2 linked regions of the Caenorhabditis elegans genome follow. The protein of the gene in region 1 purifies or fractionates together with the protein of each later gene. This does not show direct contact. Each region holds a gene or a part of one and is shown on either strand. Other genes may lie near its edges.

Evidence for each region.
Region 2: the proteins of ggtb-1 (region 1) and B0495.5 fractionate together in Caenorhabditis elegans (co-fractionation; one large-scale study listed by BioGRID). This does not show direct contact.

Annotation. Positions count from the first base shown.
Region 1 is NC_003281.10:7,130,069-7,137,800, reverse strand, and holds ggtb-1 (putative geranylgeranyl transferase type-2 subunit beta), read right to left. Parts: upstream 4,036-7,732; 5' UTR 3,919-4,035; coding exon 3,916-3,918; intron 3,869-3,915; coding exon 3,743-3,868; intron 3,689-3,742; coding exon 3,614-3,688; intron 3,559-3,613; coding exon 3,330-3,558; intron 3,278-3,329; coding exon 3,002-3,277; intron 2,957-3,001; coding exon 2,793-2,956; coding exon of another isoform or gene 2,485-2,792; exon of another isoform or gene 2,439-2,484; coding exon of another isoform or gene 2,341-2,438; exon of another isoform or gene 2,293-2,340; coding exon of another isoform or gene 1,967-2,292; exon of another isoform or gene 1,915-1,966; coding exon of another isoform or gene 1,830-1,914; exon of another isoform or gene 1,779-1,829; coding exon of another isoform or gene 1,738-1,778; exon of another isoform or gene 1,528-1,737; coding exon 1,393-1,527; 3' UTR 1,276-1,392; downstream 1-1,275. Other genes in the region: Putative tyrosine-protein phosphatase B0280.11, read left to right, coding at 1-327, 447-836, 885-1,001, 1,044-1,259; B0280.17 (K Homology domain-containing protein), read left to right, coding at 1,738-1,778, 1,830-1,914, 1,967-2,292, 2,341-2,438, 2,485-2,717; pot-1 (Protection of telomeres homolog 1), read left to right, coding at 4,136-4,252, 4,299-4,446, 4,493-4,590, 4,648-4,728, 4,773-4,915, 5,061-5,209, 5,264-5,352, 5,402-5,494 and 2 more; viro-2 (WH1 domain-containing protein), read right to left, coding at 5,802-5,996, 6,041-6,552, 6,880-7,273, 7,369-7,512, 7,560-7,732. UniProt on the Caenorhabditis elegans protein: Catalyzes the transfer of a geranyl-geranyl moiety from geranyl-geranyl pyrophosphate to both cysteines in Rab proteins with an -XXCC, -XCXC and -CCXX C-terminal.
Region 2 is NC_003280.10:7,694,369-7,701,941, reverse strand, and holds B0495.5 (thioredoxin domain-containing protein), read left to right. Parts: upstream 1-3,447; 5' UTR 3,448-3,458; coding exon 3,459-3,496; intron 3,497-3,540; coding exon 3,541-3,683; intron 3,684-3,727; coding exon 3,728-3,882; intron 3,883-3,928; coding exon 3,929-4,072; intron 4,073-4,129; coding exon 4,130-5,393; intron 5,394-5,439; coding exon 5,440-5,575; intron 5,576-5,623; coding exon 5,624-5,933; 3' UTR 5,934-6,007; downstream 6,008-7,573. Other genes in the region: cdk-11.1 (Cyclin-dependent kinase 11.1), read right to left, coding at 12-228, 283-348, 402-1,449, 1,519-1,737, 1,788-1,879, 1,933-2,098, 2,142-2,265, 2,313-2,425 and 2 more; Protein moa-2, read left to right, coding at 2,909-3,020, 3,116-3,267.

The sequences.
Region 1 (7,732 bases):
GAAACTGGTCCATCAAAAACCCCGTCAACGATAGCTCTCCGTCGTGCTGAAAGTCAAATGGAACTTTCTGGAAATCGAAAGAACGTTGAGAAAGGTGTCAAAACGTGGGTGGAGCAACTAGAAAAACTGGTGGAAATTCGTAAACTTCTCGAGGCGGACTTCAAACCAATTGACACAATGAAAGTCGATTTGGAAAAGTGTCAGGCATTCAAGAAAAATATTGATTATTGTCAGTCGGAGAACGTGGAACTTTATGATGCCAATCGAGTTAAAGGAGGAGGTGAAGCTGACTTCTTTTATCACGCAACTGTGACATCCATTCCATCGGTAAGCAATTGAGAGAAAGAGGGGGGCTCCCTCAACTCCATTATACTAACCAAAATCGTGGCAAGACCCTGCGAGAAAGACAGTGTTATTTGTAGAATGTTAACTTGAATATAATTCAGATAAGCACAAAGTCTACAATTCTTGCACAACTTCCTTTATCCGACTCTCCACATTCACTTGAATCATTTTGGTTGATGGTTGCCGCACAGAAAATTCAAAGACTCTTCATACTTATTGGAGAAGATGAGCTAGACAAGGCTGCACTGAGCGAATACTTTCCAGAAGATTTCAAAGAATTTAAAACAATTCGAGTCAATAATCGGAAGACTGTGTCGAAAAGTGATGAACAACCGAATACTCAATTGTATTATGAAGTTGTGCCAAAAGACTGTGCAGAAGCTCCATTCGCAATGATCGAGATTTGTGATTTTTGGCCAGATGGTAAAATTCCGACAGTTAGCTACGGAAGGATTGCTGCCACTGCAGCAAGTGTCTTTGATTCTGATATTGTAAGTTGTTATCCTTAATTAAATTTCACTGAAACTAATTTTTTTCAGGATAGTGACGCAACTTGTGCTATTGTGAGCAACTACGGTGCTGGAAGAGCCGGGTCATTTCTAGTTGGAGTTCAGGCAATTGAAAAATTGCAGGCTGGGGATGCACCTAATATTAAGGTATTTTCACTGTTTTTGAATGAATCAAATAAGATAATTCAGGAAATTGCAATGTCGATTCGTTCCCAACGTCCGTGTGCAATCGAGACTCTTCCACAGTATGTGTTCACTTACATCATTGCATTAACTTATGGACTCAAACATGTCAAAGATCCCGTATTGAAGTCAAAAACTGAAAAAGTGATCAGCCAGCTGGAACAATTCGCATGTGAGAAGATGATGGAGGAGGATGAGGAGGATAATACTACTTGTGAATAGGTGTTAATAGAGAATAAATTGGTTTATTGTATAATGTTTGTCCGGTCGTTTTGAATTTCAGGATATTTTCGATACGTCTTAGATTAAATAATAATTTATTTTAATCAGTATCAATTTAAATAATTACAATAAATTAGTAATACATCTCCACTTGCTTATCACCGAGACATCTCTTGGTCATGCAGAAAATTGGGTCCACTGACTCCAATGTGTCGTCTCCAAACAGAGAAAGTGCAGCTATGCCAAAGACCGTGTGGAAGGGATCCGCCTGAAAAAAATCAAATATAAAAGTTAAATTGGCACGTTTAATAATTATTTCTTCAAAAATTTTTTTTTGGAAAATTGAAAACGTGATCCATTTTTATTTATCCTACTGCCCTCAATTGAGATTTCACTTTGATCGATCAATAGTTTAGTACTCACCGAATAGTTTATTAACCACTTCGTGAAATTCGCTTCCGTCTCGACGCAACGCGAAATGAGCATCCCGGAGTCATCAACTAATTGTTCAACTGGCAGGTATATAAATAAACGTTTTCAGCTGTTCCGACAATGTTTTATTATTTTCAGTTATTTAGACGATCTGTTGAAAGAGCTTCAGATAATGACTAACATATACGAATCGAATGATAGTGTCAAATTTCGAAATGCTCATGTAAGCTTGAGATTATATATGATCTTAGTATACATGTGGGTCATGTTTTCAGAATCTTCTAGTTCGTGAAATCAAGCGTGTTTATGACGCAGAAATGATCGTGAATGGTCTCGGAAGCGGAACACCGCCACCCTCTTTCCTCGGAAGAGCTAATGCTGGAAAAGATGAATCAATGGATCTATCCTCGCTTAGAAATCTTCTGAAGGATGATCCGTTGTTGATGACACCACCACCTGGACTGCAACGTCGCCAGACTTTCAGCCCAATGACTTTGTCATTGATTGGAGGTTTGAAAAATGGTTGTTCTGAGAATGAAAATAAGGAAGAGGGGAAGTTTGAGAAAATTGACAAAGTTTTCTTTCCTCCCGAGACTGCCAAGTATAGTTGATAGTATTGGAATGGACGTTCCAAAATATGACCTTTCAGCAATACTAATCCAGTCGGACGCCTCATTGGTCCACGTGGAATGACAATTCGCCAACTCGAAAAAGATCTCGGATGCAAGCTGTTCATTCGCGGAAAAGGTATATCTTGCAGTTTGAGAAATCAATAATCTGTTCTATTTTGCAGGATGTACAAAAGATGATGCCAAAGAAGAACGTCTTCGTGAACGTGTTGGCTGGGAGCATCTCAAAGAACCGATTCACGTGATGATTTCAGTCCGCTCCGATTCGGAAGAGGCTGCATCCGAGAAACTGTCATCTATCAAGAAAATGCTTCAAGAATTTTTGGAACATACTGACTCGGAACTCAAACGCTCTCAGCTTATGCAACTAGCTGTTATTGAAGGAACACTCAAATAATTGCTTTGTTGTGGCCAATACATTATTTGATTGTAATACAAATATAAATTTCTGAATATTATTAAGAAAACTTACACAATCTCCGGGCCTGTCTGCAAATCCTCCAGTTTCATCATCTTGACAAGCGTATATGAACTTTTTCATAGCATCAGAATCAATGAAATTGAGGCGTCCGAGAATGGCGAGAGAAGCGAGAACCCACCAGGAATAACATACATCGGGTAATTTCTCAGGCCGACCTGAATTGAAAGTATTTTATGTTTATAAATATCTAATAGTCTTACCATTTAATCCTCCACTATCACATTGCCTGAAAGCAAGCCATTCGGCTGTTCTATCTCTATCAATCTCATCAAGTCGTCCGGCAATCGCCAGAGCTCCAACACAACAGTATATCTGTCCGGAATGACTTTCAGATCCTGGGCGTGTTCCGAATCCACCATCCGTATTGTAACATCTCATGAGAAATCGTACAGCTGAATCGATATTCAATGTGGACAGTCGACCAAGTAAATGACAAGTAGCGAGAGAGCACAGAGTGAATCGTGTATCAACTTCTCCTTCAAATTAATTTTTTTCTAAAAGGTTTTTTTCAAGAGAAATATAACTTACCAGATAAATCTCCACAAAAGCTTCCGTCTTCTTGTTGCAAGCCTTTCACATATTCGCTGATTGTATCCGCATCTGCTTTCTCAATTGAATTGAAAATAATCAAAGTTTGAACAGCACACAGTGTGTGTAGAAGATGACTATCATGACCAGGAGCAGGTCCATATCCTCCGTCCGTGTTCCGACAGCCAAGTACGTAATTCACGATTTCCTCAGTCGACATTCTCTCGAGCTGAAAAAAGAATTTATTATCTATGTACACAGAATAATTCTAAAAATTCTCTCACCTGCTTTGATAAATCCATCGCGTTGACACACCAATAAATTCCGCTCACTCTCAGATGTTCAGCCATTATATAATGCTGAAATATAATTATTTAATTTATTTCCACATCTAATATAACATTGCCACTTACATAGCTATTTTTGTTTTTCTCGTATTGATTGATAAAGTTAGCATGTAGATCTTTCAGTAATTCGTTTGGAGAATTTTGCGGCAGATCGACATCCTTCCGAGCAAAATCTAAAAGTCCAGCAAAGCTCTGAAACCTTTACATTCTAAAAAATTATGTTTAATAAATTTAGTTACCATTTTTAGGTTGAAACCGTTGCCAAATTGATGAAGAAAGCGTGTAACTGAAGAAAAATTATGAAATTTTTATCGTTGAAAACATTAAATATGCAACGAACGAGGCTCCGAAATTACGAATCGCGTGTTGTTTAGCGAGAGCGCCAACTTAAATTTAGTTTGTTTTCTCTGTGTTTTTGTTTTACCAATTCCTTTTAAATTATTTTTACAGATTTTCAGAATGCAATACACTTACCAGCACATTCAGGATTTGGTACCGGGTCCGACTCCACAAAACTTCTACGGGAAAATAATTTTCATCAAGAAAAAAATCAACCAAATTGTTGTTCTTATCAAAGTGAGTGATTTATCGATTCTATCAATTATTGTCATATGATTTTTAGGATGAAACGCAATCTATCTATTTACGAGTAATACCAAAAGAAGACCAGGAGCTTGAATTTCAGCTACGCCAAGTGGTACGAGTTCATCGGTGCAAAATTCAGTCAATTCTCAATTCAAAAGAAGGAATTGCTCAAATCGGATTATTTGGTAAAACTTATTATGTGACACAATTACAATTTCTTAAGTATTCCAGGTTGTCATCTTATAGCTTGGTCTCAATCCGGAAAAGTGGATAATCCTGTTATTATCAGCTCAAGATCATGGACTAAAAGCGATGAAGACAGTGAAAGGGTCAGTTAAGATAATTGAAAAAAGTTTAATGTGTTATTGAATTTTCACAACTTTCAGCTCCAGACGCTCCGCAAACTAGGAAAATCAAGAAGAAAGTCAGGTCGGAAAACATCAGTTGATACTATGGCAAACAAATTAGTAAGCTCAACTGTTTGTTGAAAATGCTAATTATATTGTTATAGATTGAGCGCCGAGAAGCGATGTTTGCTGATACATTTATCAAGAGCCTTTTCAACAAAATTGCACTTTCAAGAAAGGAACATCTTTCAAGAAATGCTCGAGAATTGTTCTATCACCGGCCTGGAGACATTGTTGAAACTCAAAAGTCAGAAAATTAGTCAATTCCTAGGTGATAAATATGAAACGGTTATTGAATTTGTACGGAAAATAATGAAGTTTTAAAAAGAAAGAAAATTATCGAAAAATTTCCCATATTGATTATTTTTTGACCATCTTATATATAATTTCAGTTTACTAGAAATTGATGATTCTTGGTTCAACGATGAGAATTCGGAACAATTTGTGCAATATGTATTGAACTGTACAACTTGTCATGTCGAATACAATCACGTTGAGTATGCACAAAACAATATCCCAACAAATTGTCGGTTCTGTCAAGGTTAGCCTTTTATGGAGTCAACAATGTAAAGAATCGAACCATATTCATTTTCAGAAGCAATGGAAAGTTTCCACGCTGCATTTCGGATTCGTATTTCTATTGAAACTTATGGAGTATTTCTTACAATCCCTTTGGAATTGATTGTGAGTTTCTCATTTTTCGACCACTCTTAAAATATAATCAAAATCTCAGAAAACGGAGCTGGACATTTGTGAAGATTGGGATTCTGAAAGCAATATCGTAGAAGAGGAAGAGAAAGTTACTAGATTCAAAAAAAATATTCAGGTACGAATCCTAGCCAATTTGGAAAGCATAGTTCAAATTTTAAAAATTTCAGGAAAAGGTTCGCGATGCGTCAATTGTGCATATAAAAGGGTTGGTAGTGTTCCGTTCACTTGAATTGAAGTCAATTGATATTCATCTCTCGGAAGTTGTTTTCTACAATATTAATATTTGAGTTTTCAGTATTTCTTCGCTTCTACTAATAATCATGTTAAATATAAATTCAATTTCACTTGTGAATAATATTACTGAGAATAAACGGATTTTATTGCAAAAGTCTAATGTTCCGTCTAGTTTACAATTAAAAATCCTAATCACTCCATTCGTCATCGTCGTCGTCAGATTCTTCGGAATCACTTGGATTTATTCCGGATCTTCTTGCATCGAGGAAGTTCTGAATCTGATCGACAATTGTTCCAGACGTCGTTGATGGGACAGATTGCCTCGTTTCAGGTGTATCACTGACTTTACGCAAGACTTGTGAACGATCGGTTGAACGGATTTGCTGAAAAAGATTCATAGAAAAATATTGATTAAGTCGAAACTTACATCCATTAGACTTCTTCGATCAGAATTAGATTCTGGAACAGCAGTTAATCTAACTGTTGGTGGCCCAGAGATTTCTTGTTCTAGAGCCGGTGGTGGAGGTGGAGGTGGAGGTGGAGGTGGAGGTACAGAAGAAGGCGTTGCAATCGGTGGAAGTGGTGGAGGTGGTGGTGGAGATTTACTAACTTCGGCAGGTTGCGGAGAAGGAGAAGGATTTGGAATACGTGATGGAGGAGGAGGAGCAGGTTTTGGAGTGGTAGGTGGAGTTGTCGAAGAGTACGATGGTCCAGTCGAAATAGGGAATTTAATAGTAGGCGGAGCCGAAGGAGGGGGCGGTGGAGCCACTCGTGTTGGTGTTTTAGGTTCCACTAGTTTGAACTCAGCAAACTGATCAACTTGATGAGAATGTGAAGGTGCATTTGGAGTTGGAGGAGGAGTCTGCTTCGGTACAGTGTCTGGTTTTGTAGCCCAACGATAGGAGTCACGATGAGTTGGAATTCGAGGAGTTGAGAGACCTGGAAATAAACAGTATATGAAGAATGTCCGAATAATAATAATAAAAGTTAAAAAAACACCACTCCTGGAAACATCTGACAATCTTTGACCCCCCTTGAGTCAAGTTCTTTTATCAAAATTTACTTTCCAAAATTGCAACTGTTTGGTAAAAGCTTGAAAACATATTTGAGAGTTATTCAGCAGATGTTGCAATGAGGCTGCCTACTGAGAAGCTCTACAAACACTGGCACCTATCTTTTTTTTTTTGAAAACTGAAGCCCATCTCTTAATCAGTACCAAACAGAAATCAACTTTCCTTCCTTACTAAATACATTCAATATACCTACCTCCTCTAGTCATCTGATCTTCTGGATTTCTTGAAGCACCTCTACTTGGCAACTCTGGCGGTGTATCGTCCATTTCAATTTTCTCAATTTGATAAGTTTGTTCAACGTGTTCTTGTTCGAATTTATAAATGTTTTGAGGCTGTCGCTGATTTGTAGATCCATAAGTATCTTTTCTCGGAGTTTCCCAGTCCGTAGTCTTGATGGGATCCGCAGCAAAAGTGTGACTATGTTTGAATGATGTTGCTGCGGTTACTGTAGACGAAGACCGGAACGACGCAGACATGGAACTCGTGGAATTAGATGTCCAATCGGGATTCAATGGATCACCAGTGATGACTGGTACAATCGGTTGAGAAACATCCTCGACTTTTGGTTTGTTACGTCCAAAAAAGCTCTGAAAAAAGAAATAAATCGGTCTTAGATTTTCAAATTTTGGACAACAATGTTTTGGAGTCTTATTTGTCGACTTTTGTCAATTTTCGGACTCACTTTACTTTTTTTTTTATCTTTATTTTTGTCCTTAACTTCTTTCACAGTTTGAGATTCTTTTTTCACCATCAATGATTGTCTAATATGATCTTCATTTCTTACAATCACTTGCTTCACAATTTCCTCTTCTTCTGGATTATTCACCTGAAATTTCAACGTAGTCTTGGCAATAGAGGTTTGGAAAACTATACATTCAATTTACTCCTAACTTGCATATACAAATCTTCTTGTACATCTGTCAACTTCACACCATCAACATGCCGAAAATCTGTTGGTGCTCCAATTTCAACTTGATTTTTTGATTCACTGTGGGATTTGAATAGATTATGAAAAAAACTAATTTTCTTCTTCTTCTTTCCCTCCA
Region 2 (7,573 bases), on another chromosome or scaffold:
ATAGCCGGAGATCAGAATCTTGTTGGATCGAACTTCAATGAGAATCCACCGGGTTTCACTTGCTCTGGTCGCACCTCGAATTGTTTTAGGAGCTTGGCAGTTTCTGGATCCACATGAGAAATGCGATTTTCTTGTTGTTTCTGCTTCGCCGGCGGTGGAGCTTTATTCTGTTCGCTTTTAGCGGGAAACGTTGGAAACTCCTCCGGTGGCACTGGATAAGGTTCTTCACTGAAATTAGTTATTTGAGATTAAACAATTTTTAAGTGATAATGTTCAACTCACGTGAACCATTCGTGATCAAGAGCTTGTGTAGCGGAGAATCGATTCTTTGGGTCCAGAGTGAGTAGGCTGAAAAAAAAACAATTAAATATTGATATTCGCAAAAAAACCAATTAACTTACCCATTAAGTAACTTAAAACCAGTGTCATTGAGAAGTCTTCCAGCTAGGAACCTCTTTCTCAATTGATTATATGGATACTTCTCAAATGTCAATGCCTTCCAACCGTCGAGTTCAGTGACTCCAGGCCATATTGATTCCGTGGGAGTTCCCATTTCCATGAAAATTTTCTTAATTTGTTCAAGTTCACCGCGTCCCGGGAACAATGGTTTTAAGAGAATAAACTCTGCCATAATACATCCAACAGACCACATATCAACGGGAGTTGAATAGAGACGTGTACCAAGAAGCAATTCCGGTGATCGATACCAGAGAGTTACAACAATTGATGTAAACTTTTTCAGTGGATCTCCATATTCACGAGCAAGTCCAAAATCGGCAATTTTCAGAATTCCCTTGTGAGACATCAATAAATTGGATGTTTTGAGATCACGATGCAGAATCCAAAGTTTATGCATGTGTTCAATTCCAGATAGCAGTTGCTGCAGAAGTGTTTTCTGTTCACCTATCGAAAATCGTTTGTTTCGACGAGACATTGTGTCTAAAAGACTTTTCATGTCATGTTCAACAAACTCCATAGCCATGTAGATCTTATCCATATTACTTCCTAGTAGAATTTCTTTAACATTCACAATATTCGGGTGATTTCCAGCTTTTAGAAGCATATTGATTTCACGAAGAGCAGTGATTGGAAATCCTTCTTTCTCTTTCTCCATTTTCAGTCTTTTTAACGCGACAATCTCATCCGTTCGTTTATCTTTTCCACGATATACAACTCCAAATGTTCCTTCATCAACTCGATTCACACATTCATATTCATCAATATTTCTACATCCCATGAGACCGGGATAAAAAACAGGTAACTGGGCGATCAATGTTTTTTGTTTCATTGACGCACGTTTTTTCATTGCTTCTTTATGAAGTCTTTGTTCAGTTTCAGTCATTTCTTCCCATTCTCGATCTTCTGGTGTTTTTAAATATTTATCTTCATCGCTATCTGCATCATCATCCGAATGTAGAGCATCATCCAATACTTCTATGACATCGTCATCTATAATTGATTTAAATGAATAAAAGTATAACTTAATTGTTTCAATTTTGATACTGGGCAAATTTTTACCGTCTTCAGCTTTTCCAGGGCTCTTCGGTTTAGTATCGTCATGATCACTTTCTGGGTCGCTTTCGAATTTTGAGTATTTCTTGGGGCCAGCTGGTGAGTCTATAGTGAATTCGACAATTTCTTTCTCTTCCTTTTCTTCTAATATCTCAATTGGCGACATTTCTACATCTTCAATCACGAGAACATCGTCATCTTTCTTTTTGTAGTTCGGGTCGAGAACTGAAATTTTCAAAATTAAATCACTATAAAATGTATGTGGTTTAAAATACTTCTATCAAAGAGCTTTGCATCTGCTGGAACATCTGTATGTTTTGACTTTTTGTGTGGCGATTTGTCATTATCAGGAGAAGTTGTGCTGGATCTAAAAAATCAAACAAAAATTATTAATTTCTTTTCAGAAAGAAACGAACTTACTTTTTATGACGATCAATATGCCTTTTGTGTTTTTCTGAGTCTCTTTCAGACGAACGATCTCTGTTACTTCTGTTTGTGCGGTGCCCATCTGTTTCGTGTTTTCTATGATGGTGATGATGTCTATGTTCATGTACTTTCTGATCTCTTCCAGATCTTTCCTGTCGTCCTAAAAGTATTAATAAGTACCTCTTATTCTATTTGCTGATTACCTTTGAAATCACGATCTTTTTGTCGAGCATCTGGTCCACGCACGTCTCTTCTGTCATCTCGTTTGTCCTTTTCCCGTTTTTTATCTCTTTCTTTATCTCGATATCGGTCCTCTTTTGCCTTTTGCTGTGAATTAATAATTTTAAAACAGTAATACACAAAAATTAACATACAGCGTTTTTAGGCTGTATTGAAAACCGTTGTTCTGTGGTATCATCATCGCTTTCACTGTTCTTCCGCTTGCTCAGACGACTTAATATGCTTTCACGCATTTTTGATTCCAAACCTGAAATTTATAATTAGTAGTTTCAAATTTAATCACTTTATATACCTTTGTTCGACTTGGCTGGATTTGGCTCATCGGAACTCGACGCTCTTTGACCTAGAAATAATAAGTTACACTCAAAACTTGTGAAACCTACTTACTTTTCTTGTGACTTTCATCTGACAGCTCACCTTCGTCATGAGAACTTCCCAAGTGGTCGCTCATAATGATTTTATCTTGAAAACGAAATAATTCTGAATATAAATTTAACAATTTTGATCAAGAAAACATTTTCGAATAGGAGTACGGTGGACAAGTACGCAAACACCGATTACACCTCGTGCGCGCATTCTTACGACACTTGTTTTTTTTATCGTTTTTAAAAACAGCGACGACTTCTTAAATAATCTTTTATCTATAAGTTTCATGTGTTCCCTCTTTTTTATTTATATAAATTCACTGTTACATTGGTTTCTTCGTTAAATATTAGTAGATTTCCAGAAAATGGCTCTTCCCGGAGAACGATTCCACGTTCTTGCTCAATTGGAGCATCTTCAATCGAAATACACCGGTACGGCCATGCGACATGAACCGTCACGAATGGATTGTGAATCAGGTTTGTTTCTCTCTTTTTCTCATAAATTTCTTTAAAACGGTAAACGGCTACTGCCAAAATCTATAGAAAGTTTGAATAAACAAATAATATTCCAGCACCGCGACACTCGCGCCTTTCAAATGTCTCATCCCGGAATGAACACGTATATTGCCGTTGTGGAGAACGAGAGCCGAGCTCGAACCCGCTTCAATCTGATAAATCGCATGATTCAGCCGTGTGGACCGCCTCCAGAGAAGAATCCTCTTGATGACGCCTAACTATCTGAATAACTTATTTTATATTTTTTATGAAGTAATTTGATCTCCATTCAATGTGTTTGAGAATATTTAACCTTGAGTAGAAATTTGGAAAAAATGTTGGTTACTCTATGATACTTCATGGTAGCTCGTGTTAGTGATAATTTATTTTAGAAAAGATAACAATTCAGAGACAGTGTTGATGTTAAGAGCGCTTGCACCAATAACTGTTATCCGAATGTAAGTTTATTCAATTATGAAAATTGTAAAGCAAAACAAATCAGGACTTCAACGTACAAAAATCGTCTTGGACAGGAAAAGAGTCCTTACCTCCTCCAGCATGCAAACAATCCCATCGATTGGTATCCGTGGGGACAAGAAGCATTCCAGAAGGCTAAAGATAATAACAAACCTATCTTCCTGTCAGGTAGATAATCAAAATATATTATCAAACAAACTTTAATATTTCAGTTGGATATTCAACTTGTCACTGGTGTCATGTGATGGAAAAAGAATCATTTGAAAATGAGGCAACAGCAAAAATCCTGAACGACAACTTCGTGGCTATCAAAGTTGACAGAGAAGAACGACCAGACGTTGATAAACTCTATATGGCTTTTGTCGTGGTATGAAACAAAATTAAAATTGTTTTAATCAATATCTCCATCTCAGGCTTCAAGTGGACACGGTGGATGGCCAATGTCAGTTTTCCTAACACCGGATCTTCATCCAATCACTGGCGGAACCTATTTTCCACCAGACGACAACCGTGGAATGCTCGGCTTTCCAACTATCCTCAACATGATTCATACTGAAGTAGGTGCCACAAAATCTTTTCATTTAAAAATTAGCCAAAGTTTTAAAATTTTTCAGTGGAAAAAAGAAGGAGAGAGTTTGAAACAACGCGGAGCCCAAATTATCAAACTTCTTCAACCTGAAACTGCTTCTGGGGATGTCAATAGATCCGAAGAAGTGTTCAAATCAATATATTCTCACAAACAATCATCTTTTGACAGCAGACTTGGAGGATTTGGCAGAGCTCCGAAATTTCCAAAAGCTTGTGATTTAGATTTTCTAATCACTTTTGCTGCAAGCGAGAATGAATCCGAAAAAGCCAAAGACAGTATCATGATGCTTCAAAAAACTTTGGAATCAATGGCTGATGGAGGAATCCATGATCATATTGGAAATGGATTTCATCGATATTCTGTCGGATCCGAATGGCATATTCCACATTTTGAGAAAATGTTGTATGATCAATCTCAGCTATTGGCTACATATTCAGATTTTCATAAATTGACAGAAAGAAAACATGATAATGTAAAGCATGTCATTAATGACATCTACCAATACATGCAAAAGATCAGTCATAAAGATGGTGGATTCTATGCTGCAGAAGATGCTGATTCCTTGCCAAATCATAATTCTTCGAATAAAGTTGAAGGAGCGTTTTGTGCTTGGGAGAAAGAAGAAATTAAACAATTATTGGGAGACAAGAAAATTGGATCAGCTTCACTTTTCGATGTAGTTGCTGATTATTTCGATGTTGAAGATAGTGGAAATGTTGCACGATCTTCGGATCCCCATGGTGAACTGAAGAATAAAAATGTCCTGAGAAAGTTGCTGACTGATGAGGAGTGTGCCACGAATCACGAAATATCTGTTGCGGAACTCAAGAAAGGAATCGATGAAGCAAAAGAAATTTTGTGGAATGCTCGAACACAAAGACCAAGCCCACATCTTGATTCAAAAATGGTTACTTCGTGGCAAGGACTAGCAATCACAGGACTTGTGAAAGCATATCAAGCTACTGAAGAAACAAAATATTTGGATCGAGCTGAAAAGTGTGCAGAATTCATCGGAAAATTTTTAGACGATAATGGAGAGCTTAGAAGATCTGTATATTTGGGTGCTAATGGAGAAGTTGAACAAGGCAATCAAGAAATAAGAGCATTTTCTGACGATTATGCGTTTTTGATTCAAGCTCTTTTGGATCTCTATACAACAGTTGGCAAAGATGAATATCTCAAGAAAGCCGTTGAGCTTCAGAAAATTTGTGATGTAAAGTTCTGGAACGGAAATGGATACTTCATCAGCGAGAAAACCGATGAAGATGTTTCTGTGAGAATGATTGAAGGTTACTATTTTAATTTTGATTAGTACACATAACACTTAAATTTCAGATCAAGATGGAGCAGAGCCCACAGCCACTTCAATCGCATCAAACAACCTTCTTAGGCTTTATGACATTCTTGAAAAGGAGGAATATCGTGAGAAGGCGAATCAGTGTTTCCGGGGAGCTTCAGAGCGACTGAATACGTAATATCGAACAACTTTTGCTTGAGCTCGCAACATTTTTAATTTTAGGGTCCCAATCGCCCTACCAAAAATGGCAGTCGCACTTCATCGATGGCAAATTGGATCTACCACATTTGTTCTCGTTGGTGATCCGAAATCTGAACTTTTGTCCGAAACTCGAAGCCGACTGAATCAAAAGTTCTTGAATAACCTGTCTGTTGTACATATTCAATCAGAAGAAGATTTGTCAGCATCGGGACCTTCTCATAAGGCAATGGCTGAAGGACCGAAACCTGCAGTGTACATGTGTAAAGGATTCGTTTGTGATAGACCAGTTAAAGCCATTCAGGAATTAGAAGAACTATTCAATAAATTCTGAATGTGTAGATTTTGTCTTATCCAGATACTGTAAATATGTCATTTTTTGTCAGTTGAATAAACGCTTAGTCATTTATCGAACATCAGTTTCAGCTTTGTGGCGACCACCACGTGTCTACTGATAAATTAACAGATTGTACTACTTTGCATGTAATGTGCTAGAGGACGGTTCTCTTATCATCACAGGCACTGACGACACTGCCAAAGTTTTACAAGCTAATTTATTAGCGCTCTTCGGCCGCAATGGCACGATTTGAATTGGTTTATTGATTCCAGAGACTAGTTTCAGTTTTTGATAAGAATGAATTATTATTCATTTTCTAGTTTATGAATATATATGTAACTAGGGAAGCCTATTTATGATTTTTCTAATTTTTTAAAATTGTTATTTTAGAGAGGTGTGAAATTAAAATGATATATATTTTCGAGTACTTTAAAAAATAAAAACGGTACATCCTATATTAAATTTTTGATTTTAGATCCTTCCAAGTTATTGACAAGTATTAACTGCACTTCTCATAAAAATTTTTCAAATAGATCTATTTAGTCTGGAATAGGAATACTTTTGGCAATTTTCTTGAGAATCATAGAAGACGAATTTCTGAACTGCTCTTTGTGAAGCCACGCCCATATATTGGCATTTTTGTATCCAATTTTTTGTAGAGTACCTGAATCATTATCACTACATCTGCTAAACAATATATGGAAGTTCTATGAGAGGTGAAAGGTAAATCATATAACAACTGTAATAACATAGAAATGATTGTAGTATATTTCCAATTAGGCTGAGTTGATCTTATTGAAGAGTTTGAATCATAGCAATTTTTTCCTCTTTTAGTATTTTTCAAAACAAATTTTCACAATGTTAGATGTAGTATTTAGCATTAAGGCATCTGTAATCTCCCAGAAATGTTTTGGGAATAAAACCCTTTGACTCTTTGGTCCTTTTTTGCTCCAAATAATATCTGATTTTAACCCGTTCTGATCTACTTTTTACCTTTCGATCGTCACATCCGCGTACACGTTTCTCTTGCTCTCAATTGCTTATCTTTATGGCCTTTTCCCCCACTTTTTGTCGACTATCATGCGGACGTGGCTTCCTTGCTCCCTCCCGGTTTTTTTGAAAACACTTGTGAATTTATTTTTTGTGGTCAAAATTACGAAACATTTGAATTCTCAATCTATTTATAGACCGGGTGTGGTATGTTATGCCATGTTTTTGTCATTGCCAAATGAACATCGATATTTTAATTTTCTGAACTTACCGTACCCCCTGCGTTACTATTTTATTTTTAATTTGTATAATTTCATTGCTATAATTTGTTGTCCTTGAAACATTGAAGATATCGAAGAAATAATGACAAAAATCAGATAGAACAATTTTTCCTACTCATCAACTCACATTTTTCTATTTTCTCTTGTGCGAAAAAAATAGTATATTGGGAATATTTATAGTATTGCAACTTTTCTCTTAGTTCGCAGAGTTGCAATACTACTAGATCCCTAATAGAGGAAATATGGTGACCAGCTTTTTGCAATTGGAAAGTTGGGAAAAAAGTATATATATTAATAGACTTACACTCTTGTAGTTCGTAGAATTTTTCAGGAAATCTGACACGCAAGACTTTTTCAAAAAGTTTT